Linked DNA regions of Arabidopsis thaliana. The protein of the gene in region 1 purifies or fractionates together with the protein of each later gene. This does not show direct contact. Each region holds a gene or a part of one and is shown on either strand. Other genes may lie near its edges.

What was found.
Region 2: the proteins of AT5G09390 (region 1) and AT4G17590 fractionate together in Arabidopsis thaliana (co-fractionation; one large-scale study listed by BioGRID). This does not show direct contact.
Region 3: the proteins of AT5G09390 (region 1) and AT4G26600 fractionate together in Arabidopsis thaliana (co-fractionation; one large-scale study listed by BioGRID). This does not show direct contact.
Region 4: the proteins of AT5G09390 (region 1) and OLI2 fractionate together in Arabidopsis thaliana (co-fractionation; one large-scale study listed by BioGRID). This does not show direct contact.

Annotation. Positions count from the first base shown.
Region 1 is NC_003076.8:2,911,562-2,916,488, reverse strand, and holds AT5G09390 (CD2-binding protein-like protein), read right to left. Parts: upstream 3,008-4,927; 5' UTR 2,899-3,007; coding exon 2,825-2,898; intron 2,501-2,824; coding exon 2,311-2,500; intron 2,186-2,310; coding exon 2,060-2,185; intron 1,984-2,059; coding exon 1,810-1,983; intron 1,670-1,809; coding exon 1,540-1,669; intron 1,451-1,539; coding exon 1,409-1,450; intron 1,270-1,408; coding exon 1,098-1,269; intron 960-1,097; coding exon 882-959; intron 756-881; coding exon 686-755; 3' UTR 510-685; downstream 1-509. Other genes in the region: KUP7 (K+ uptake permease 7), read right to left, coding at 1-112; AT5G09380 (RNA polymerase III RPC4), read left to right, coding at 3,353-3,379, 3,465-3,520, 3,597-3,657, 3,756-3,792, 3,917-3,991, 4,131-4,183, 4,276-4,336, 4,437-4,519 and 1 more.
Region 2 is NC_003075.7:9,800,305-9,804,356, reverse strand, and holds AT4G17590 (NOL1/NOP2/sun family protein), read left to right. Parts: upstream 1-1,765; coding exon 1,766-1,784; intron 1,785-1,869; coding exon 1,870-1,944; intron 1,945-2,054; coding exon 2,055-2,236; intron 2,237-2,319; coding exon 2,320-2,388; intron 2,389-2,465; coding exon 2,466-2,543; intron 2,544-3,246; coding exon 3,247-3,348; intron 3,349-3,433; coding exon 3,434-3,514; downstream 3,515-4,052. Other genes in the region: LIL3:1 (Chlorophyll A-B binding family protein), read right to left, coding at 1-106, 205-598.
Region 3 is NC_003075.7:13,417,565-13,424,295, reverse strand, and holds AT4G26600 (S-adenosyl-L-methionine-dependent methyltransferases superfamily protein), read right to left. Parts: upstream 4,736-6,731; 5' UTR 4,668-4,735; coding exon 4,128-4,667; intron 4,032-4,127; coding exon 3,968-4,031; intron 3,839-3,967; coding exon 3,699-3,838; intron 3,597-3,698; coding exon 3,513-3,596; intron 3,422-3,512; coding exon 3,347-3,421; intron 3,258-3,346; coding exon 3,186-3,257; intron 3,093-3,185; coding exon 3,019-3,092; intron 2,774-3,018; coding exon 2,721-2,773; intron 2,639-2,720; coding exon 2,529-2,638; intron 2,326-2,528; coding exon 2,257-2,325; intron 2,172-2,256; coding exon 2,097-2,171; intron 1,927-2,096; coding exon 1,661-1,926; coding exon of another isoform or gene 1,657-1,660; exon of another isoform or gene 1,583-1,656; coding exon 1,483-1,582; coding exon of another isoform or gene 1,456-1,482; exon of another isoform or gene 1,369-1,455; coding exon 1,043-1,368; coding exon of another isoform or gene 1,039-1,042; exon of another isoform or gene 939-1,038; coding exon 878-938; 3' UTR 505-877; downstream 1-504. UniProt on the Arabidopsis thaliana protein: Involved in ribosomal large subunit assembly. S-adenosyl-L-methionine-dependent methyltransferase that probably methylates the C(5) position of cytosine 1586 (m5C1586) in mitochondrial 26S rRNA.
Region 4 is NC_003076.8:22,644,907-22,651,508, reverse strand, and holds OLI2 (S-adenosyl-L-methionine-dependent methyltransferases superfamily protein), read left to right. Parts: upstream 1-1,991; 5' UTR 1,992-2,125; coding exon 2,126-2,722; intron 2,723-2,811; coding exon 2,812-2,875; intron 2,876-2,990; coding exon 2,991-3,124; intron 3,125-3,219; coding exon 3,220-3,303; intron 3,304-3,385; coding exon 3,386-3,460; intron 3,461-3,563; coding exon 3,564-3,635; intron 3,636-3,723; coding exon 3,724-3,797; intron 3,798-3,938; coding exon 3,939-3,991; intron 3,992-4,097; coding exon 4,098-4,207; intron 4,208-4,409; coding exon 4,410-4,478; intron 4,479-4,563; coding exon 4,564-4,638; intron 4,639-4,735; coding exon 4,736-4,828; intron 4,829-4,915; coding exon 4,916-4,995; intron 4,996-5,080; coding exon 5,081-5,180; intron 5,181-5,293; coding exon 5,294-5,613; intron 5,614-5,718; coding exon 5,719-5,767; 3' UTR 5,768-6,061; downstream 6,062-6,602. UniProt on the Arabidopsis thaliana protein: Involved in ribosomal large subunit assembly, required for normal progression of rRNA processing. S-adenosyl-L-methionine-dependent methyltransferase that probably methylates the C(5) position of cytosine 2268 (m5C2268) in nuclear 25S rRNA.

The DNA.
Region 1 (4,927 bases):
GAATAACCCATCGAGACTCGATAGAATCCATGGATGCCATATCTCCAAAACCACCACCTGAGCTATCGATCTCTTCTTTTTCAGAACCTTCCATACTGCTTTCCTCCGCCATTTTCAGAACTCTTAGATTGCAATCAAAGCTAAAGTAACCTCCGAAAGTTTCGCAGGGTCGATCAAACGAGAAGAATCGTAGAACTAGAGTTTCGCATCCGATCAAAAGTTCTCAGGAGCAAATAAAGATTTTTCGACGAGAAGTCTTGTTTCTTCACTGCCGATTCATGCCGATGTTCTCAATCTCTGCTTTACCAGTTCGCTGCTGAACCGGTCTGATACAAACGTGACATGTTCTGTACCGGAAGTCTGAACCGGTTAGATTGTGTTATTGGTCAACGTTTGGTTTGAGACTTTCTTGCTTCATACTGTGAGAGTGTGTGAGGATTACGATAACCTCTCAGGCTCTGTTTCATAATTTCGTTTTCTTTCTTCACAGCTAATTTTGTTCATACAATTATAAGATTGTCCAAATTTACTTTCATCTCTATAATTTCTCATAAATCAATGAGAAAACCAATAAATCCAAATATATTTATATAAACTCATGTATGATGTGCTTACTTTCAAACTAAAAACAACAAGGGAAATATTTCAAGACCCTGTGTTAGTCAAAAGTACAGACAAACGAAAATTAAACTTCTTCAGTAGCAACTTCAGAAACCACCTCTTTATATTCCTTAGTCTCTTCATCGTACCTGTACCTGCACGCATATTTTGTAATCAAACACATAACCAGAATTGAGCTGATAATCGAAATTATGAACACATGAATAAAGAGATTAGTAATGGGTTTTCAAAATTCTAAACTCATCCCAAGTAAATTTTACCATTTTCCGGTTGTTGCGTAGCAGTAAAGTCCAGTGTTCGGGTCATAATAGTAACCAAGGCTGCTGCTGTAGTAGTACCTGCAAAACCATTTATAGAATACTTTTAGATAAATAAAATTGAGATTCATAATGAATATTGCTAGCAACACAATACTTCGGACAAAAAGCTGACTTATGCAACAAGAGAGCGCGAGAGGAGAGTATATACAAACATACCCTGAAGATTCATCAAACACATAATCAGAATTAAGCTGAGTGCCCGAGATGGAGCTAGACGGTTGTAGATCAGAGGAAGGTTCAGGAGCATTCTCATCATCGCCAAACATATCACAAGATACTATATTGGCAGTCCCATTTTCTTTCGCTTGAGCTAGTCTCTCATATCCTTCTAAAAGACCAACATAGAGAAGAAGAATGTGAAAAGTCAAGCCAATTGTTCCCGAATGTTGTGAAAAGGTGATATCACAAAGCAGAGGAAACGTAGCTACATCTACAGCTGATATTGAAAAAGTATTAGAATCTCTAACCTGCTTCACGTTGGAAAACTTCTTGCTCCTCATGATAAACATCTTCAATACATAAAAAGAGGAACACATATATTAACAAATGGAGGACATCATATTTGTTGTTGAAGTAGCATAAGTTATTAGAGACTTACTGTAGTCGCCGTTCTCGATAAGCTTGTCCGCATCCTCAGTAAGCTGATCAAAGATAAGCTTGGTCTCAGATGTCATCTTCTCCTTGCGATTATTCGAATTCCCTTTCAACCTCCTTAAAGCTCGCAAGACCTGTAACATGAAACCGATTTATTTTACGTGTTCGAAGTATGTATAATCAACAATGCTATATTAAGGTGACATTTTTAACTAATACAATCCATGTTTCATGTTTGAAACAAAAACTTGTTAAAACGCAGAATGAGTCTCACCGTTTCTCCTGGTTCAAGGACATTAGCAATGCGCCTCTTTCTAACTCCGATTTCATCTTGAGAAAGGTCATCCCCTGCTTTTTCGTTCCCACTATCATCATCCATCTCAGTATCATTTGCAGCAGATCGTCCCATATACATTGGATTTTTTTCAATACTGTCAAGCCATGCATCCTGAAAGAAAACACATATAATGAAAGACAATACACAAGATATCTTGGAGCTAAGCTTTACAATGAAAGATGTGTACCTTGACTTCCTTTTCTCTAACATATTCTACAAAGTTCCCATCAGCATCAAAGTAACCTTCTTCTTTCTCTCTGTCCAGACTAAAAGCTTCAATCTGGATCCCATCTTCTGTGCGATTGCCATCATCCTACAATGAAATAAATCACATCAGCATAACTCTTTTTGCAAACAAACATCATTGAGATCTCGCAATATACACAATTAGCTTCCAGGAACAGTCAACAAACAAAAAGAGGATAGTAGAAATCCTACCTCATAAGTCTCCTGAGCCTGATTAATATCATCACTGTCATCTTCGATAAAGAGCTTAGTAGTATTCTGATTGCGAATCTTTGCACGCTCCTTAGCAGCATCACGGGCTTTGCGGCGGGCTAAAGCTTCTTCCTCTAAGAGCTGTTCAGGTTTCGACTTCTTCCCCTTTGGAAACCGTACTCGCTTTTCGCTGCCAGAGAGAATCCTCCATTAGAATCCACATTATAGCGTATGCACACAAACTCAAGTTGTAACTGAGACAAATTTCAAAGCTGATTAATACTCCAAGTTCAAGACAATCATATGTTTGGCATTCAATTTCAGGTTCAATGTCTAAGTCTAACAAAATTGAGGAGAAGAGAGAATCAGATGGAAGAAACAAGAGCTACTAATTCAATTTTTCCTACCCTAAAACTGAGTCAATCAACCGGAAACGAAAAGAAGAAACACGTATCGTCATGCTTAGCAGAACAAAATTGGAAATTAGGGTTTTCGGAAAAGATTGTAAACTTACGGAGGTTGTTTATCGGAATCTTCATCTTCTAAGAAGGATCGTTTAAGGTTCCTCCTCGACGAACTATCTGCCATTGCACAAGCGTTAGACGAGAACAACGACGATTTGTTTATTTCCAGGCGGTGAGAATCGCCGTCGAGGGGAAATAAGACGAAAGCATGAATTCTCGCCGACGTTTACAAATTGGGCCGTATTAATGGGCTGAAAAATGGGCCTTAAAAAGCGCGCTTAACGTTTGGAATTACTATGTCTGTTTCCTTTAATTTACCGGTTTACTTTTTTACCATGGTTAGACTAAAACGCCGCCGTTTTGGCACAGGCCCTAATTTATGGGTTCTCTCCTTAATTGGTGATCATCCTCCTTCTCAAGCTGTTGGCCGTCATTGAACTTGGAGTCACAGGTCAGCTTCTGATTCTTAATTCTGTGAATTTTTCGTTTCAAAATATTAACCGAATACTTGAATAATCGTAACTAAATATTCTTCTGGGGTTCTTTTTATTTAGTCGAAGTGTTTGAATTCAATTGCAATGGAGCAGAAACCACCAGTACGGAAGGTTTGTGTTTGCTATCATCGTTAACTTCTCATGTTAGATAAAATATTTGGCTCTGCTAAATTTTCGATTTTGCGTTCTTCTGCAGATGAAGTTTGCCCCAAAAGCTCCACCCAAACGTGTGCCAAAACCTGAAGTTAAACCGTAAGCAACACTAATGACTGATCTGATTAACATAAACAGATGTTTTTCTTCTGAAACTTTTGAATTATGAATGCAGTGAAGTGGTTGAGGATAATAGTAACAGTGCACAAGCATCGGAATTGCTACGCAGAGTTAATGTAAGCTTTTTTTTTTTAATCGTTGAGTGAAATTGTCTTTGCTCTTGTGTCTTCTTACTTACTCAGTTCTCTTTAATTTTGATTTTTGTTTGCCTTAGGAAAGATCATTGCGCAAGCCAAAAGCGGACAAGAAAGGTAGTGTCTTTAACTTGAAACTCAGACTCGTATCTTTACTCTGTTTGCTGCTACGTTATCTAGTTGTAAAAAAAAACATCACTTTGATACATCACTGATTTAGTTTTTGTTATGTATCATACAGTTCCTGCTTCTCAAGTTGCTTGGTTGGGGGGAGTGGTGAATTCAACCAGATCAAATAAGTACCTCAATAGATCAAGTAACAATTTCTTTTCTTTGTTTAAAACATAGGCAATTATATATTTTAACAAAAAAAAACATAGGCAATTGTATTCACAACACATCACAAGTTTTTGATAATTCTGCGGGGGTGTTGATACATGCTGGTTGTTGTGCAGATGGTGCTTATGGATCAACCTCTACTCAGGAGATAGAGTATAAAGAACCATGGGTCGGTATAACAGTACCCTGTCCCTAAAGTTATATCTCGAACTCATATATCGATAATGTTGATGCATAATTAATTCTTGGATTGTCTCACAGGATTACTACAGCTATTACCCTATCACACTTCCAATGAGGAGACCGTATGCAGGAGATCCAGGTATTCATATATTTGCTTGAGAAGAAAAATAAAACAATTTTGTGAAAGCAGATTCTTGATTACCATTTGCCTATGTTTAAGATGCTGCTCATTATTGCAGAGGTTCTTGACGTGGAGGAGTTTATGCAGGCTGGAGGACATCATGAAGATTCACTTAACACAGCCGCTAATCTCGGTCTAATGGTTAGTGACATTACATATAAAAATTCGATAAACCAAAACTCACACGCAAACTCTATAGTTACATAATGTGGATCACTTGTTGGCAGGAGGATAGTGGAGAACAGAAAATGTTTTTTATGAGGCTACCTTCTGTTCCTTTGGCATCAACACCAACAGAAAACCTTGAAACAAGGCCAAATATCAAAGGCCCCGTTGAGAAGAAGACTGTTGATTTAAAAGCCTTGCCAGAAGGTTACATGGGCAAACTGTTAGTCTACAAAAGTGGTGCTGTCAAGATGAAACTTGGGGAAGTGCTTTATGATGTGAGTGATTCTTTTTCCGTTTACTAAGTATTCTATGACCATAGATCCTGCAATATGGTTTTTACCGGGCATAATACTAGCTAATATCTAGTAGGGGTGTTCAATC
Region 2 (4,052 bases), on another chromosome or scaffold:
CTCTTAATCCAAGCCCACCATGGAATAATCGATGTATCGAAAAGCACTGGTTCGTCGTTACTCGTTGTTTCTGGATTCTCTTCTAGCCATTTTCTTCTCTTTGCCTCTTCAAATCAAAACACATTAAACATCAAATTCAAATTTCGAATTTTCACCAAAGTAACAGAGCAAAAAAACTTAACGAGGATCTAATTCTAATCTAACCAGCAACGATTACAGAATCCCAATCGGTTTTTCCATCTTTCTCGAACTGTTTCAGATCCCAAGTTCCATTAATCCATCTCGCATCCTGGAATTTGACAACACTCTCCGTTGTTTTCATCTCTTCACCTTCGACGGCGACATTTTTAGCGGTGGCGGTTTCTTCCTTTTTAACCGCCGGTGTTGATTGCGGAGGCTCTTTAACTATCACTTCCACGGGCTCAGGAGCCTCCACGGAGACGGCGGCGGTGGGAGAGGTTGATCCACTGTCGGAGGAAGCTCGAGTGACGGAGAGGAGAGAGAAGCGGTTACTGGAGAGGAGGGAGAATGAAAATTTGGGAATGAAATTGGGATTTTGAAGAGATGAAGAAGAGATTGGCGGGGAGAACAACGCCATTGTTGTGGTTTCTTCTTTACTTCAGAGTTTCACAAATCACAACTAGTGGTTCTAAATAGACTTGTTATCGTTTAAAGATGTAACATGTATGTCGTTTCTTTCTCCCAAATTGAGACTACGTAACGTGTTTTTTTTCCCTCTACACATACAGAAACAAAAAAGTGACTGTTATCTTCATGGGCTCGTATTAAAAGCCCATCCCAGTATTTTGGTGTTGTTATGAGGGTATCAAACAAAGAAAGTCAACACATTTACCTGATTAATCAAGCAAAGTTTTTATTATTATTTTGTATTCAACTAAGCAATGTACCTTACAATATTTTCCATTTTACAAACAATTTAAGGTTTAACTTTTTAAAAGGAAAAATTGTACTAAACTAAATTCATTAATAATATATTTAATTAAAATTTTAATTAATTTTTTTTTCTGCAAACTGAATTATATTAACCAATTGAGATTTTACAAAGTAGTTTTTGTAACCAAGGTGGTTGACGACCTGATTAAGAATAAAAATCTCCATGAATACAATTAGAGGTTGAGAGGTAATGAGCTATACTATTATTTACACGCTTTGTGAAGCCAAAGAAGATTGAAGAAATTTTTAATTAATTTAAAATTTTGAATCCCATAAAGTATGGTGAAAAGAAAGCTCAACAAAAATAAATTTGTAAAGAAAACATAATATTTCTTTTAAAACATAAAAAGCCTAAAAAATGAATTCTAAAATATGTTTTTTACCTTGATGCCCTAAGCCATGACTTCACTTGATTGTGTGGAATGTCGGGCTTGATTTATTATACATAAATGCATTGTATTTGTTATAATGCAACACGATGACCAAAGGATATATGAAGTTGATTTTCAAGTATGATTTGTATCATGTGTTATGATGAAAAGTGCTATTATATATTAGACTCTAAACTTAGTACTTGTTAAGACAATCTTAGTGAATTCCGGATTATAAATGTAGATTTGTCACAACCGGTTGTTACAATAGCATCTTATACAACTTAATTGTACGAGATAAGCTCACTTTCAGTTCTTTACCAATCTTGAATATGAGTGTCGGATAATCAAGGCGTCGCATAATCAAGGCATTTTGAATATGACTCTGGAGAACTCTTTAAACTAATCAAGGCGTTTGAGGAGCCGATGCCGACATATATATGGACGAACACTCTAAAGGTAAATTTGGTTATCCATTGTTCAATTGTTTAGTAAAGTTTTGAGATTATGCATTTTTATGATGAGTTTTGTTTTTTTGCTTAAGACTCGGAGAATATATCTTTCTCAACAGCTTTTGGACCGAGGATTTCACGTATGCCTGCTACAGAACTGGTCAACGGTAAGTATGCAAATTTTCTTCCTCTAGATTCACAACAAGTATTATGTTGTTCATACATACATGTACTTGATTCTTTCAAAACTGCTTGTAGCATGGACTTGTCATTGAAGATGAACCTGAAAGTCTTCCCATTGGGGAAACTCCTGAACATCTGTCTGGGCGCTTTATGGTAATAAAAGGTATAATATTTGCTAATGCGTCTACTGAACACTTGCTTGGTTCACTTTATGCCAATCTCCATCGAATGGGGATTACAAATACAGTTGTTTCCAATTACAATATCAATACAAAGGTTAGCTTCTTGAACCTCACTATTGATGATATTAAGGGTAATAAAAGTTCTGAAATAATTTTCTATTATTCCTTCCCGTTCAGCTATCTAGGGTTTTCCATATAAACTCAAAGGATATGGTGTTGGTGAATGCGCCTTCAACTAGAACTGGAGTAAAAATTCAACTCGTCTGTCATGTTTTAACTGAATTGTCAGGTTTTAACTCAAATGCTAACTTCTATCTATGCAGCTAATATCAGAATTTGGATCGATCAAAATGTCCATTAACGAAGAAGCTGACATACAACGCTTTGGTGTTTTGCAAAAGGTAAAACTTGCTTGGCTTTAACAATTAATGAGAGGTTATGTTTTTAACCATAATTATCTCATTTGACAGCAAAGCCAACAGATTTATCTGATTAATTAAGCAAACTTTTTTTTTAAAATTTTGTAATCCAAATCTAAGCAATGTACACCTTAGAATATCTTCCATTTTGCAAGAAATTTAAGGTTTAACTTTTTAAAAAAAACCAAAAATTTACTAAACTAAATTCATTAACAAATTATTTAATTAATTTTTTTATTAATCTAAAATTTTAAATACCACAATATATGGAGAAAATAAAGATTAACAAAATGAATTTATAAAAAAGACCTATAATATTTTTCTTAAAAAATAAAAGCCTAAAAATAAATTCTAAAGTATGCCTTTTTATTTTGATGCCTAAGCATAAAATGCATTGTATTTGTTATAATATAACATGATGACCAAAGGGTACATCAAGTTGATATTCAAGTATGATTTGTATCATGTGTTATGATGAAAAATGCTATTATATTAGACTCTAAACTTAGTACTTGTTAATCTTAGTGAATTTCGGATTAAAAAATGTAGATTTGTCACAATCGGTTATTATAATAGCATCTTATACAACTTAATTGTACGAGATACGCTCACATCAACTTCTTTACCAATCTTGAATATGAGTGTCTTTACCAATCTTGAATATGAGTGTCGGATATAATTATAGATAGTAGAAGGCGTTCACATGTCTGATTATGTTGACCAGCTTAAAGATGATATTGCTTCTCTTTATGGGTACAATAGGTTTCTTATTAGAACTTTGGCGGCAGTGATTTTCTCTGACTTTATTCTCCATGACATTCCTATCTCTGTTGCTAATTACTCATTTATCATCAACTGAAATTTCTTGTCAGACGTTTAGTCTTGCAGAACTCGTTAAACTAATAAAGGCGTTTGAAAAGCTGAGGTCTACATATATACGAAGAATACTTTAAAGGTAAACTTGGTTATCCATTGTTCAAGTGTTTAGGAAATTTATTAGGTTATGCATTGTTATGATGAGTCTTATTTTCTTTAAGACTCGCAAAATGTATCTTGCTCAACAACTTTTGGACTGAGGATTGGACCGAAGATTTCAGGTATTCCTGCCACAAAACTGGTCAACGGTAAGTATGCATATTTTCTTCCTCTAGATTCACAATAAGTATTATTTTATGAATGTATACATGTAGTTGATTTTTTCACAACTGGTTGTAGCAAGGACTTGTCAATGAAGGTGGACTTTAAAGTCTTCCCATCCTCTTTAATATATGGGTAGCTCTTTAAATTTAAAAGGTTTTTTTTGATGCATTTGTAGATTCAAAACCTTGGTTCCTTGTTCGATGTAATGACATTAGATGCACAGAATAATGAAACGATTGTAGACATGCAAAAGCCATTATTTTTTTCTTTATCATATTTTTATTGTACCTGATGGTATGCCTTGTTTATAAGTTTATTTGCTCCATATTTTTAATTTGTACTGATGATTTA
Region 3 (6,731 bases), on another chromosome or scaffold:
TTTATTGAGATTTTGTTATTTATCCATACCATAAGTCCACAAAATTACTTACCATTTTGGTTAGCAAGAAATTAAAATGAACTCATTTGCTTTTAAAAGCTGTATCTTTTGGGTCCTGCAAAGGAATCTCTTTTCTATAATCTTGGATATCCAAATATAAAGTGAATACAGCAATTATACGATGTTATATGTGATGCATGTGAGTTTGTGTATACAAGGCTACAAGCACTAGCAGTTATAATATGGGCTTATAATCTAAAAATAGAAACAAGAAGATTAGTGTGAGAGAAGTAAATGTAAGGTCCCCAACGGAGGAGAATCTGATAAAGATGGATGAAGAAGAGTTGAATTGGATTGTCATGTTTCTCCAACACTCAAGTCCCACTTCAGAAAACCTTCACATCTCTCCCTAACAATGACCAGCTCACTCCCAATTCCCTTATTTTTTCGTCAAATCAATACTATGAGAAATTCTATCCTTATGTGGTGGTATGGACCCAACCCTCCAAGATTTATGTATTTTATTAAATAATTGCTAGGAGCAGAAAAATGAATAGCCTTTCAAACACACTTGTGAGAGAAAGTAGGGACTCGTTTTTGTTTTCAATAAATTTTACAACTCCAATTGAAAACGGAAAATAGAAACAGCCTCTCACAAAAATCAAGTTATGTGATTGATACAAAACTTTTGGACATGTAACAGCTAATCCATGTGGGTGTCACCCTTTCTTTACGCAGTAAATTAATCAAAACTAGAAAGCCATTGTATAGATACCTTGGCCTCAGCCAATGAAGCCTCTTTTCTTGTGTCCTTCGCCATGGCCAGAACACCGAAATATTCTACTCTTCAAGATGCATCACGATCTCAAACCTATTCTTATCCCCTGTGCTTTGGCGTCTCCTTAGCATTCTCTCTCATGGTTTTTCTTTTTTCTTCCCTGCAACATATTCAACCATTTATGGGTAAATGGGTGTATGATACAACAATGTACATAAGAAGGTTTTCTCTTTTGTCTGTCAAGGAAACACTTAGTTTTTTTACCTAGCTTGAGCAATCTCATTCTTCCATTGTGATCTCTTCTTCTTTTGCTTCCTGGGTTCTTCCACATTACCACTTTCGGTTTTTGTGTTTTTATTCCTTTTGCCTTTGTGAATTTCCTTTGACCTTGGATTTTTTCGTTTGTTCGTGTCTTCTTTAGTGTTACTCTCTCTCTTGGGTTGCCCACTGGCAACAGGTGGCTTCTCCAACTCCTCAATGGCCTCAGCTTTCTCATCATCATCATCACTAGACGACACCTGAGCTTGCTCCATTGTTACAGCTGGCTCATCATTTCCTGAAGGCTGCATTGCATTGCTCATCTTCTTCAGCTGCAGAACAAAGAAAGGAAAAAGTAAATACCTCGTTGGTTTAATCACTATTCATATTTTATAAAACATCTGTTTTGCAGGGAAAAGCTATTCATAGGTTAACCAAGTGTATACCTTTGCAACAAAGAATCCATCCATGTTGTGCACGTGAGGATAGAAACGTCTAGTCTTCTCTAAAGAAGGGTGGAACCGGTGTTCTCTAAAACTGCTAAATCTGAAGATATGCAGCAAAACATTTGTGTTCAGATGACGAATCATGAAATTTTTCAATGCAGATGAAAATGTATATTACCCTGGTCGGCCAAAATCAAGTCCACATGGAACGAGTTTAACATCCCTGTTTTTCAGAGCATAATCGATGACAGCTTCGTTCTGCATAATTTGTTGTACAAATAGAACTAGTGAGAAAACATGAAGATGCCAGGAAAAAAAAATAGTGGAACAGAAAAAGTATGGTTCACCAACCTCGGGTATCATAACTGAACATGTTGAGTAAACAATATATCCACCGGTTTTGGAATTGGCGTCTACCAAATCAATCGCACCAAGTATAAGTTGCTATGCGCAAGAAAAGAAGAGAGTATGGTTAGCATTATATACCAAATGCATCCTTCTTTATATACTCACAGTAAGAGGGTATAAACGGCGTTTATGCCATTTTCATGTTTAAATATTTGTCTTGGATGTAAAGAATGTTTTAGTTGATATTGTTTAAGGCAACAACATACCTTTTGCAAATGGGCAAATTTCTTTATGTCATCAGCACTTTTGGAAGTTTTAACTGATTCGTCTTTTGATATAACCTGCATTGTGTAGAAGTGACATTAAACTATGAACAGAGAAATTCACTTAAAAGACTATAAGAGTGTATGGTCCAAACTTTCTTACTCCAGTTCCACTGCAGGGAGCATCCAGCAATACTCTATCAACCGAGCTCTGACCTAAAACTTTGGTTAGCTGAAAGGCAAAGAAGATGAGATAAATAAAAAATGCAAGGGAATAATAGAGAAGCTGTCTTTAAAACTTTGTTATTTGGTGCAATTACAGTCTTGCCAGTAATTTTTCAATTTGGTTGAGCTGATGGTTTACAACCAGTTTGCAATATTTAACATCCTCAAGCATGTACCGTCAACAGAAGAATAAAGGTTCAAGAAACTAACCTCTCGTCCGTCATAGTTACAAACTATGGTATTTGTCACTCCCATGCGATGTAGATTGGCAGAAAGTGACTTAAGCCTAGGTACTTTCATCTCGTTTGCATATATTATGCCTGGTTATATAAACATTATAACATTAGATATAACTGACTAAAATTATGGGGCTGGAGGAATAAGGAACCAATATATGTATACCTGTATTTTTCATTAGTGCAGCAACATATGTTGTTTTACCACCAGGGGCAGCACTGCAGTGGTATAAGAACTTGTTACAGATATCACAATATACTAGTTGCATATGTCTCACATCACGGGACAATCAAATTGGCTTTTCCGTTTTGACAGCACTTATCATCACAACAATCATAACAAATGATACATATCACAAGCTACACTTGAATATCAGATTAAGGTACTGCTTGGTCATCATATATATATATATATATTTATCTGAGACACAAATATAGTGCATTTATGTAAGATAATGACTTACGCCATGTCCACAACTCGTTCTTTTTCTCGAGGAGCAAGGGCCATCACTGGCAAGAACGAACTAGCACTTTGCAACTGAAAATGTACCAAGAACATACTTAAGTAAACAATAAGAAAACCCATAAAGTGTGAGCCGAAAAGTACAAAAAAAATCAGAAAATCAAGTACCATATAGAATCCTGCCAAATATTCAGGAGTTGCACCAATCGGAACTTGTGAATCATAAACGATAAGTCCAACCTACAAATATTATGCCAGGATCAACTAAAGATGGTCCACAAAAATGTTTTCGCAAATAAAATGGAAGACAATCTGCAAATACTACTTACTTTTGACCACTTGCTTAATGGGTCTAGATTAACTCCTCTGTTCAAAAGTATATCAGCCAGATCCCGTCTTCGAGTCTTAACCAAAACAAACATCAGCATTAATTGAAATATCACAACAGCTGAGAAATACTTTGTTTTAGACACTCCAATGCACAACCAAGTTCACCTTAAGAGTGTTAGTACGTATAGATGTAGGTCTTTTCTTTTCAAAAGCTTCGATTAGTTCCATGAGTTCAACAACAGGAAACATCTGCCAGAAGATTACAACTAAAGAGTATAAGTAACAGAATTCCTACACATAACTCTAGATCAAAGCAAGCATAAAGAGTAAAGTCAGAGACTAGGGAATAACCTCAATTAAAGTTCCAATAAGAAACTCATTATAGCCGTAGTAAGAACTAAGATCAGCTTTAAGCTGTCCAACATAATCATTCCTCTCGTGCTTGTCTCCTTTTGGCTTCAAGTCCTTAAAATTCGACAGGATTCTAACAACTGAAACACAAATTAGTACCATTAAACTAAGAACCGAGAGGATGATTCCTTAGGAGATTTAAAACAATCATAATAATAACATTACACCAGAATTCTTAAAAAGGAATAAAATTTGAAAATGTTACTCACTCTCTCTTATCCTCATTTGCAAGCTAGGAAGATCTGGCGGCCGACGTGCCTCTTCTTCAAGTTCCTAAACAATGTAGAGTAATAGAAAAGATTAGCTAACAAATAGCTCCAGAGATCCAGAATATGAACAAATCCACAATTAAGTAAAGGAAAATGTAACCTTTTGGGTTGGTAGCTGAAACTCATCAGGTTTCTCCTTAATGTTCATCTTGAATTCATCGTCTGCATCTTGTACCTCCTTTTTACGTTTTCTATCAATAGCTCTAGATTTCCTCTCGAGTTTGGATCCACCAGAGTCAGAATCCAAATCAGAACCCATGGTTACCTCCTCATTATCGCTACCATCGAGAAAGTCTTCAGCTAAGGGTTCTGCATCCTCATCATCATCATCATCATCATCATCATCATCATCATCATCATCACTATCATTGTTTCCTTCTTCATCACCATCAGAGAACAAATCAGAACCTGATTCAGACCCTTCATCAGACTGTTCATTCTCTTCTTCTTCTTCTTCCTCGTCTGTGGAAACTTCAGGCTTTTTGAGGGGCTTCTTCTCCGAAATACATTTCCTCTGCTTCTTCAATGGAGGCTTCTGGGTTTTAGCCGCCTTCTTCAGCGGAGACGCCTTAGTCTGCTTATTCAGTGGCGGAGTCTGTGAATTGGAACCCTTCTTCTTGTTACGCGTAAGAGCAGCCATGGATACGGTTTTTACAACTTAGGGTTTATCGCCGTGAGGGTTTAGCAGAATTGCAGAGGTAGGAGAAGCAAGGTCGAAGAATCTAGTAAAGATGGAGGATGAGCAAAGTTGCTTAATGGGCTTGATTGATACTAACTAATGGGCCTGACTAATACTAACTAATGGGCTGTAGTCGAACTTATTTTTTGTCAGCCTAATAAATTATCGAGCCACTGAATTCATAAAACCTATAAAAACATAATTCAATAAGTTATTTGATGTATGCGTTTAGGGGTTTCAAAATGGGTAATCCAACTCAACTCTTAATCAAATAAGTTTAGATGTTAAATGAGTTGGGTCAACCCATAACTCATTTAATTTGATGGATTGAATTGTTAAATGGGTTAACCCATTTAAATAATAATTTAATTAATTATTATTATAAAACAATAATAAATAATTAATATTATTAATTCATTATCATCAAACTTAAAATATTTACGGATTCCACTTTTTACGGGTTTACGTTTTTGGCGGAAAAATCACAGGTTTATGTTTTTGGCGAGAAAATTATAGGTTTACGTTTTTGGCAGGAAAATTACGGGTTTATGTTTTTGGTGGGAAAATTACGGGTTTACATTTTTGACAGGAAAATCTCGGGTTTACGTTTTTGGCGGGAAAATCACGGGTTAACGTTTTTGGCGGGAAAATTACGAGTTTACGTTTTTGGCGGGAAAATTACGGATTTACGTTTTTGGCGGGAAAATTATGAGTTTACGTTTTGGCGGGAAAATAACGGATTTACGTTTTTGGCGGGAAAATCACGGGTTTACGTTTTTGGCGGGAAATTACGAGTTTACGTTTTTGGCGGGAAAATTACGGATTTGCGTTTTTGGCTGGAAAATTACGAGTTTACGTTTTTGGCGGGAAAATTATGGATTTACGTTTTTGGCGGGAAAATCACGGGTTTATCTTTTTAGTGAAAAATTACGAGTTTACTTTTTATCAATTTCATCGCTTGTATATTTAAGAAATTTGGAAAAATATTAATTTTATTAAATTGGTTTAAATGTGTTGGTTAAACTTAAATTGGCATTGGTTTAGAAATTTTAGTTGGTTTAATTCAATTTTACAAAACTTGATGGGTTAATTGGGTAAACCATTGAAATCATTAACCATTACAACCCAACTCATTTTACTCATCAAACCAATTGACTCATCAACTCATTTGACCCATTAACTCATTTGAGTCAAAATTTTCAACTCATTAGAGTTCATGGGTTGAATTGAGTTGAGTTAACCCATGAATTTTAACCCATTTTGACATCTCTACCTGCGTTACATGCTCAGCCCATGCATGATTGAAGCTAGTGATGTTGATAACAAAAACTGAAATGAATCACGTAATTTTCTAAAATCAGTTCTAAACGATTCTGTTTCTTCTTTAAGAATGAAAACACGAATTTATTTTTGGTGAATTTTAATTCCAACTACCAAAAATAATTTGATTGATTGGTTGAAATTTCTTGTAAAATTGTGTTAGAATTTGAAATATTATCATTTGCAGGATATATATGTAGTTTGGCTGTCAAAAAAAAATGTATTATGTTTTTGGTGAAGTTGCAAGTTATTTATAACACATAGAACCTAGTCATAGACGTTGACATGAAACAGATTGAATAAGACAGTGTGTGTCTTAGAAACAGAAACTTGAATAAAAGTGGAAATATGCGTTTCATATTGTATAACCGATAGATTATGGAAACAATGATGCATATTGGCAATCAAAACAAAAACAACGATACATACAATTGCGACCACAAGCAAGACCGAAAGACACACCTGTGACGCGCGTCCAACGCACAAAGAGTCCGAGTCAAATTCGGAGTCTATTAAGCGGTGCACCAGCAAGTATACACGTACGAACCAATTACATGCATAATGCATTAAGACTGTCACTATCGCTAAAAATTTTGTTTTTAGCTGCTGCAAGTGATCGCCAATTAAATTGCAACTCTTACCTCACAAAATTGTCTCTTGCTAGTTCAATTATTTCCTTTTTATTATCAACATCCGCTAATTATT
Region 4 (6,602 bases), about 20 Mb from region 1:
CCAGCTCTAACGATTTTGACTGTGATTCATCTTTAATTAGATAATTAAGATCTATTGCCAGCTAGCTCTATTGCCATATTAATTACATAATTATCTCTAAGACTAAAAGATCATGTTCTGATGAAACTTGTCAACTTGACATGTCTCTAACTGCCAAAACTTATGAATTTAATGTACGTAGAACTTTTTAATATTGACTCCGATGACTTATTTGATGTTTGAAATCATGTGTAACAACTTTTGGCTCGATAGGCCTAATATATTTATTAGCTTTTCACAACCAGATTCTTGAATGAGACTTTTCTAGCCGTCATGTGAAAATGATGTAGCTAATAAATGGTCTTCTTTTTTTATGAATAACACCGACTCAAAGGTAATTTCAATGAGAAAAATATGAGCATTTTAGGTATGTCCTCAAACAAATTAAAACTGTATTCAAATAATTGATCATCTTGCTACATTATATAATAGAGGTGGTGATCAAACATCATAGCATAGTCATATTGTTAAGATGTCTCAAACATCGTCGCATTAGGTCTGAATCGGCAGGGCCGGTCCATATACTAATAAGTAATAACCAAATGTTATGAACTACGCGAGTGTAAATAACATAAGATGTTAAAATGGTTGGTGAACGTGCATTAAATTGTTCTACTGAACGCGTTATTGGTTTTAAGCATGTCGATATTTGTAGAGATTGTAATATGTTGTACGTATTAGAGATTAATATAAACGCGTTATTGATATGTATATTACATTTGATATCATGCGTTTGCGGACAAATAAATATCTTTATTATATACATCATATCGTCACATGTAATGTGTCACTATATATAATAGAAAAGAAATCAACTTAAATGATTGTAGTCCAATCCCCCTATATAGTCGTATATATCTCATCGGTCAAGACACATATGACATAACCAATTTTTAGTTTGAGTGTTCTACATGCACGCATGTATTCAACGAATGGGTTAAACGTTAACTCGTTCTCGTAAGATTATTTTTACATAAAACAGTGAATCTTTTTATTGGTAAATATACATAAAACTGATAATAGTAATAATCTAATTTAGCAACTAGTTTATCCTCAGAATCATTAGATACGTTACTGATCTATTATGATTGCTTAGTGATTAGATAGAGCCGATATCAACTCAGTTTGTACGCACAAGACAGAAGACTAATGAATAATGACAATATATATTCTCGACCCATTTCACACAATGCTAGTACAAGATAAGGTGCTTTCGTGTCATAGAGATTTTGACAAATTGATTATAACTTCCGTTGACTGATGGGAGCGAAATTGACAAAACCATTAACAGATTATGAGCAAGTTCTCAAGATTTTTTAGTTTTCTTTCTCTCTCGGTCCCAAAAGAAAAGATGACAATAGCTAGCATCAACTTGTTAGAAAAAGACGATGAACAAGTTTGAGAATTGGACCACTGAAAATCCAATTTCCACCCAACCAATTATTCTACTATTAGTGGAAAAACGTGGTCAACCATCTTTGTCAACTTCGCCAATATGCTTTTCAACTTCTTAATTAATGCCTCAAATCTCGGAACTACATTTTGTCACAACGCTAAAGATAAAAGAGAACTAAAAGTAGAAAAACAAGAGTTTGTGAAAGTTTACAAGTTTTTTTTGTAGAGAGAATTTTAACCGTGTTAATGTTTTGTTCCAAATGTTTTTGTTTGTTTTGGAAAAACAAAAATTTGGTTGTTTTTATTTCACAAGTTCAAGAGCACGCTTGTACCAACAAGATCGATGATCGTGTTGTTTCGATTCGTGTCGAAGTTGACACCGTTTCGTTGTCTTGTTTATTGATCGAGACATATTTGTTTTTGGTTGTGGAACAAAATTTTAAAGTATATTGCGTGTTCACACTAGTTTGAAAGTTGTGTGCGTATGAATAAACATATCGAATAATCAATAACAAGGCACCATATAGTTATTGGGCTCAATTTGTTTTAAATTGGGCCGATAATTATTTAGGCAAAAGCCCAATAATAGACACCAGTCAAATATACCTTTGTGTACTCCAACAATCATCATCTTCTACTTCTTCTCTTAAACCCTGGCCGCGCGAGAAAACCCTAATTCAAACCTGTAGCCATGCCTGCCCTCACTCGTAACAAGAAGAAGGCTGCGACGAAATCGATAACCCCTCCAACGAAGCAGCTTACCAAATCCAAAACCCCTCCAATGAAACCCCAAACTTCAATGTTGAAGAAAGGAGCGAAATCTCAGAACAAACCTCCATTGAAGAAGCAGAAGAAGGAAGTTGTGGAGGAAGAGCCTCTAGAAGATTACGAAGTTACCGATGATTCTGATGAAGATGACGAAGTTTCCGATGGTTCTGATGAAGATGATATTTCTCCAGCTGTGGAATCAGAAGAGATTGATGAATCTGATGATGGAGAGAACGGGTCTAATCAGTTATTCTCTGATGATGAGGAAGAGAACGATGAAGAGACTTTGGGTGACGATTTTCTAGAAGGTAGCGGCGATGAAGATGAGGAAGGATCTTTAGATGCGGATTCGGATGCTGACTCTGACGACGACGATATTGTGGCGAAATCTGATGCTATTGATAGAGACTTAGCAATGCAGAAGAAAGATGCTGCTGCTGAACTGGAGGATTTTATCAAGCAAGATGATGTACATGATGAAGAACCTGAACATGATGCGTTTAGGCTACCAACTGAAGAGGTAACATTTTTTTCATGTGTAATACTTACTCTGTTTGATTTTGGTTTTAGCATATATCTAACTGTTGTTGTTATCTTTCATTTGTCCAGGAGCTTGAAGAAGAAGCTCGTGGTCCACCAGATCTTCCTCTACTTAAGACTAGAATTGAAGAGAGTTAGTAACATTTCCAAATTTTGTTGCTTTATTACTGTTGAAATGTTGGTGTGATGGTATTTATCTAGGTTGGTTTGGATTGGTGTTCTAATTGTTGATTCATTTAACATTTCAGTTGTTAGAGCTCTTAAAAATTTTAAGGCTTTCAGGCCAAAAGACACCACGAGGAAAGCTTGTGTTGAACAGCTCAAAGCTGATCTCGGTTCTTATTATGGTTATAACAGTTTTCTTATTGGAACTTTGGTTGAGGTGAGACTCTCTAGTTTCTTTCCTTTGATATAGTATGGATAGGATGTTGCTGATATTCTTTACTTATGGATGTTGAATTGGGATTTCTCTTGCAGATGTTTCCTCCTGGTGAACTTATGGAACTTATTGAAGCTTTTGAAAAGCAAAGGCCTACGTCCATCCGAACTAACACACTTAAGGTGAACTTGGTTGTGACTTACTGGGTTGTAGCTTATGACTTTCAAGTTCTGCAATTTCATGGTGATGTATGTTTTGCTTTAGACTCGAAGACGGGATCTTGCTGATGTACTTTTGAACAGAGGAGTCAATCTAGACCCATTAAGCAAGTGGTCTAAAGTAAGTAGTTTGTTCTTACTATTTTCTATTCTGTCAGTCCTATTTTTATGAATCTTCTATTGTTGATCTGTCCTAAGTCTTATTTACTGATGTCCTACTGCAGGTTGGACTTGTTATTTATGATTCACAAGTCCCAATTGGTGCAACTCCTGAATATCTGGCTGGGTACTACATGGTAAGTGATCTTCTGATGTCTTTCCCTTTTCTTCACCTTTATGGAATGCAATTGTTTGCTTAAGTCTCTCTACTTGGTGTATTTGCAGCTTCAAGGTGCTAGTTCGTTTTTGCCAGTGATGGCCCTTGCCCCTCGAGAGAATGAGCGGATTGTGGATGTAGCGTAAGTTATCATCATCTACTCATCTACTAAACAATCGCTGCAGCTAAAAAGCGTTTGACCTTGTTGGCGTGTGATGATTCCAATTCTAGTGTTTGACTGTTTTGTTGTGTGAGTTTATAACAAGATTTTATATCGATGCAGTGCTGCTCCTGGTGGTAAAACAACTTATATCGCCGCTCTAATGAAAAATACGGGTATGTCTTCATTGGTTTCTCTTGCTTCTTATCCCCATATTCTATTTGGCTGTCGTATGTTTTTTTTTTTTGGTTTAAGTAATGTTTATAATGATGCTATTACCAGGCTTAATATATGCGAATGAGATGAAAGTACCTAGGCTTAAGTCGCTAACTGCCAATCTGCATCGTATGGGGGTCACAAATACCATAGTTTGTAACTATGATGGAAGAGAGGTTAGCTTCTTGAACATTGATTTTTCTGTTGAATTTCTGCTACCTGTTCACAAAATGTTAAAAACCCCGTAACATCTACTTGAATTCACACTACTGAAATGACTGGAATTATAAAATTTGATCTGGTTAATTTTGCTCAACATGCTGCCCAGTTTTATTTTCTTGCACTTATTCTTTATTTCGTTATCTTTGCTGCTGTCAGCTACCCAAGGTTTTAGGTCAGAACACGGTTGATAGAGTATTGTTGGATGCGCCTTGCAGTGGGACTGGAGTAAGGAACTTCGAACTTACTCTCTGTTAAACTGTAGTTAAGTTTTAGATCCTTGTTACTAAATCTCCTCTGCTACCCAATACAGATTATATCAAAAGATGAATCAGTTAAAATAACGAAAACCATGGATGAGATAAAGAAATTTGCTCACTTGCAAAAGGTATGGCAGTACCTTCTTAAATAACTTCTATTATATCTGAACAGACCAATTTTCATTCTTAAACACATGCTAAGTTAACCCTTTTTTGTTCATGAAGCAACTTCTACTCGCTGCTATTGATATGGTGGATGCCAATTCCAAAACCGGTGGATATATAGTTTATTCAACATGTTCAATTATGGTTACTGAGGTTAGTTAACTGATAATTTCCCCCATAATTTTCTTCTTTGTATTTGATTCATCCTAATTTTTCTTTATGTATGAAAAAATTGTGCAGAATGAAGCCGTCATTGACTATGCCCTCAAAAAGAGGGATGTTAAACTCGTTACGTGTGGTCTCGATTTTGGCAGAAAAGGGTAATGCACAAGTTTTTCATCTGAGGGATATTTAAAGGAACATTAAATAATGTCTCTAACTCTTTGTCCTTCTTCTCTTCATCAGATTTACCAGATTTAGAGAACACCGGTTTCAGCCATCTTTGGACAAGACTAGACGTTTCTATCCTCATGTACACAACATGGACGGATTTTTTGTGGCAAAGGTACTCACTTTTGGCCATTGTAATCGATCAACCATGCACTTGTCAATACTCTAATAGTTGATATAATCCACACAATTTGATGTAATGCTCTTGTGTTCTTTTTCTTTATACAGCTGAAGAAAATGAGCAACGTGAAGCAATCTTCAGAAGAAGGTGATGATGATGCGGTAGAAACTGTAGAGCAAGCTGAAGTGTCTAGTGATGATGATGATGAAGCTGAGGCCATTGAAGAGACGGAGAAGCCTTCTGTTCCCGTTAGGCAACCTAAGGAAAGAAAAGAAAAAAAGAACAAGGAAAAACTTGCAAAATCAAAGGAGGACAAGAGAGGTAAAAAGGATAAGAAATCAAAATCTGAAAATGTGGAAGAGCCATCTAAACCAAGGAAGCAAAAGAAGAAGAGACGGGAATGGAAGAACGAAATAGCTCAAGCTAGGTATATAAATATCTATCCCCATCCATGAACTGAGAGAACAAAATGCTTTAGACTTGTCTTTTATATATAGTTGCTTGACAATGATTTGTATAATCACGTTTGCAGGGAAGAGAAAAGAATAGCCATGCGGGAGAAGGCGAAGGAGGAGAAGTAATGATGATTCAGTGTTTTTTCATCAAAGAGAAGAAAAAACATTTGCGAAAACGTTATCATCTATGGTTATAGTAGGCTTGTGCCATATATTGGCTTTCTTGTTTTTGTTTATTCACGACGAGATTTGTGCAACGTTAAAAGCACCCAGAGTGAGCACTCTGTTGGACTCCGTGGGCAGACCACCTTAAATGTCCAAAAGTTTTGTTTCAGAAAAAAATCTTTTAAGAGAATCAAAGTTAAGTTGTGTTCTTGAGCCGATCACTAAATTGCTGTTATTTTTACTCAAGAACCAAACTAGGGGTGGCCAAAAAAAAAACTATAACTACTAACCTAAATATTTTTTATTTCGAAAAACCCAACATTTTTTAACCTAAATGTAGTTGGAACAAACCGAAATGAATATACTAAATTTTGTTAATTTTAAGTTCAAATGATTAATTATCAACTTTTTAATTAATTTGTTAATTCATCACTTCATATGTTGGAATTGACTCAAACCAAACTATATCAAACCATAATTGTATGAAACCAAACAAAATATATGAAATTGAAAGGCTCAGAATTGTTTCAGTTTAGTTTTTCTTATTTTTCAGAGAACTGTTTTTTAAAAAAAATTAGGGATTTGGCAGTGAGCTGTTGATTGGTTGTAAGAAGTTAGAGAGAGAGATTGAGAAACTCTCACACCAAAGTGGGACTTGTGTTGGAGAACATGACAACCCATTCTTCATCTATCTTTGTCAGATCTTGTTTGGGGACCTCTCAATTTTAATTTGATTATTTATCCTTAACTCTTCCTTTTTCTTTTTTTATTTGCATTATTCATTCTTTTTATAAAT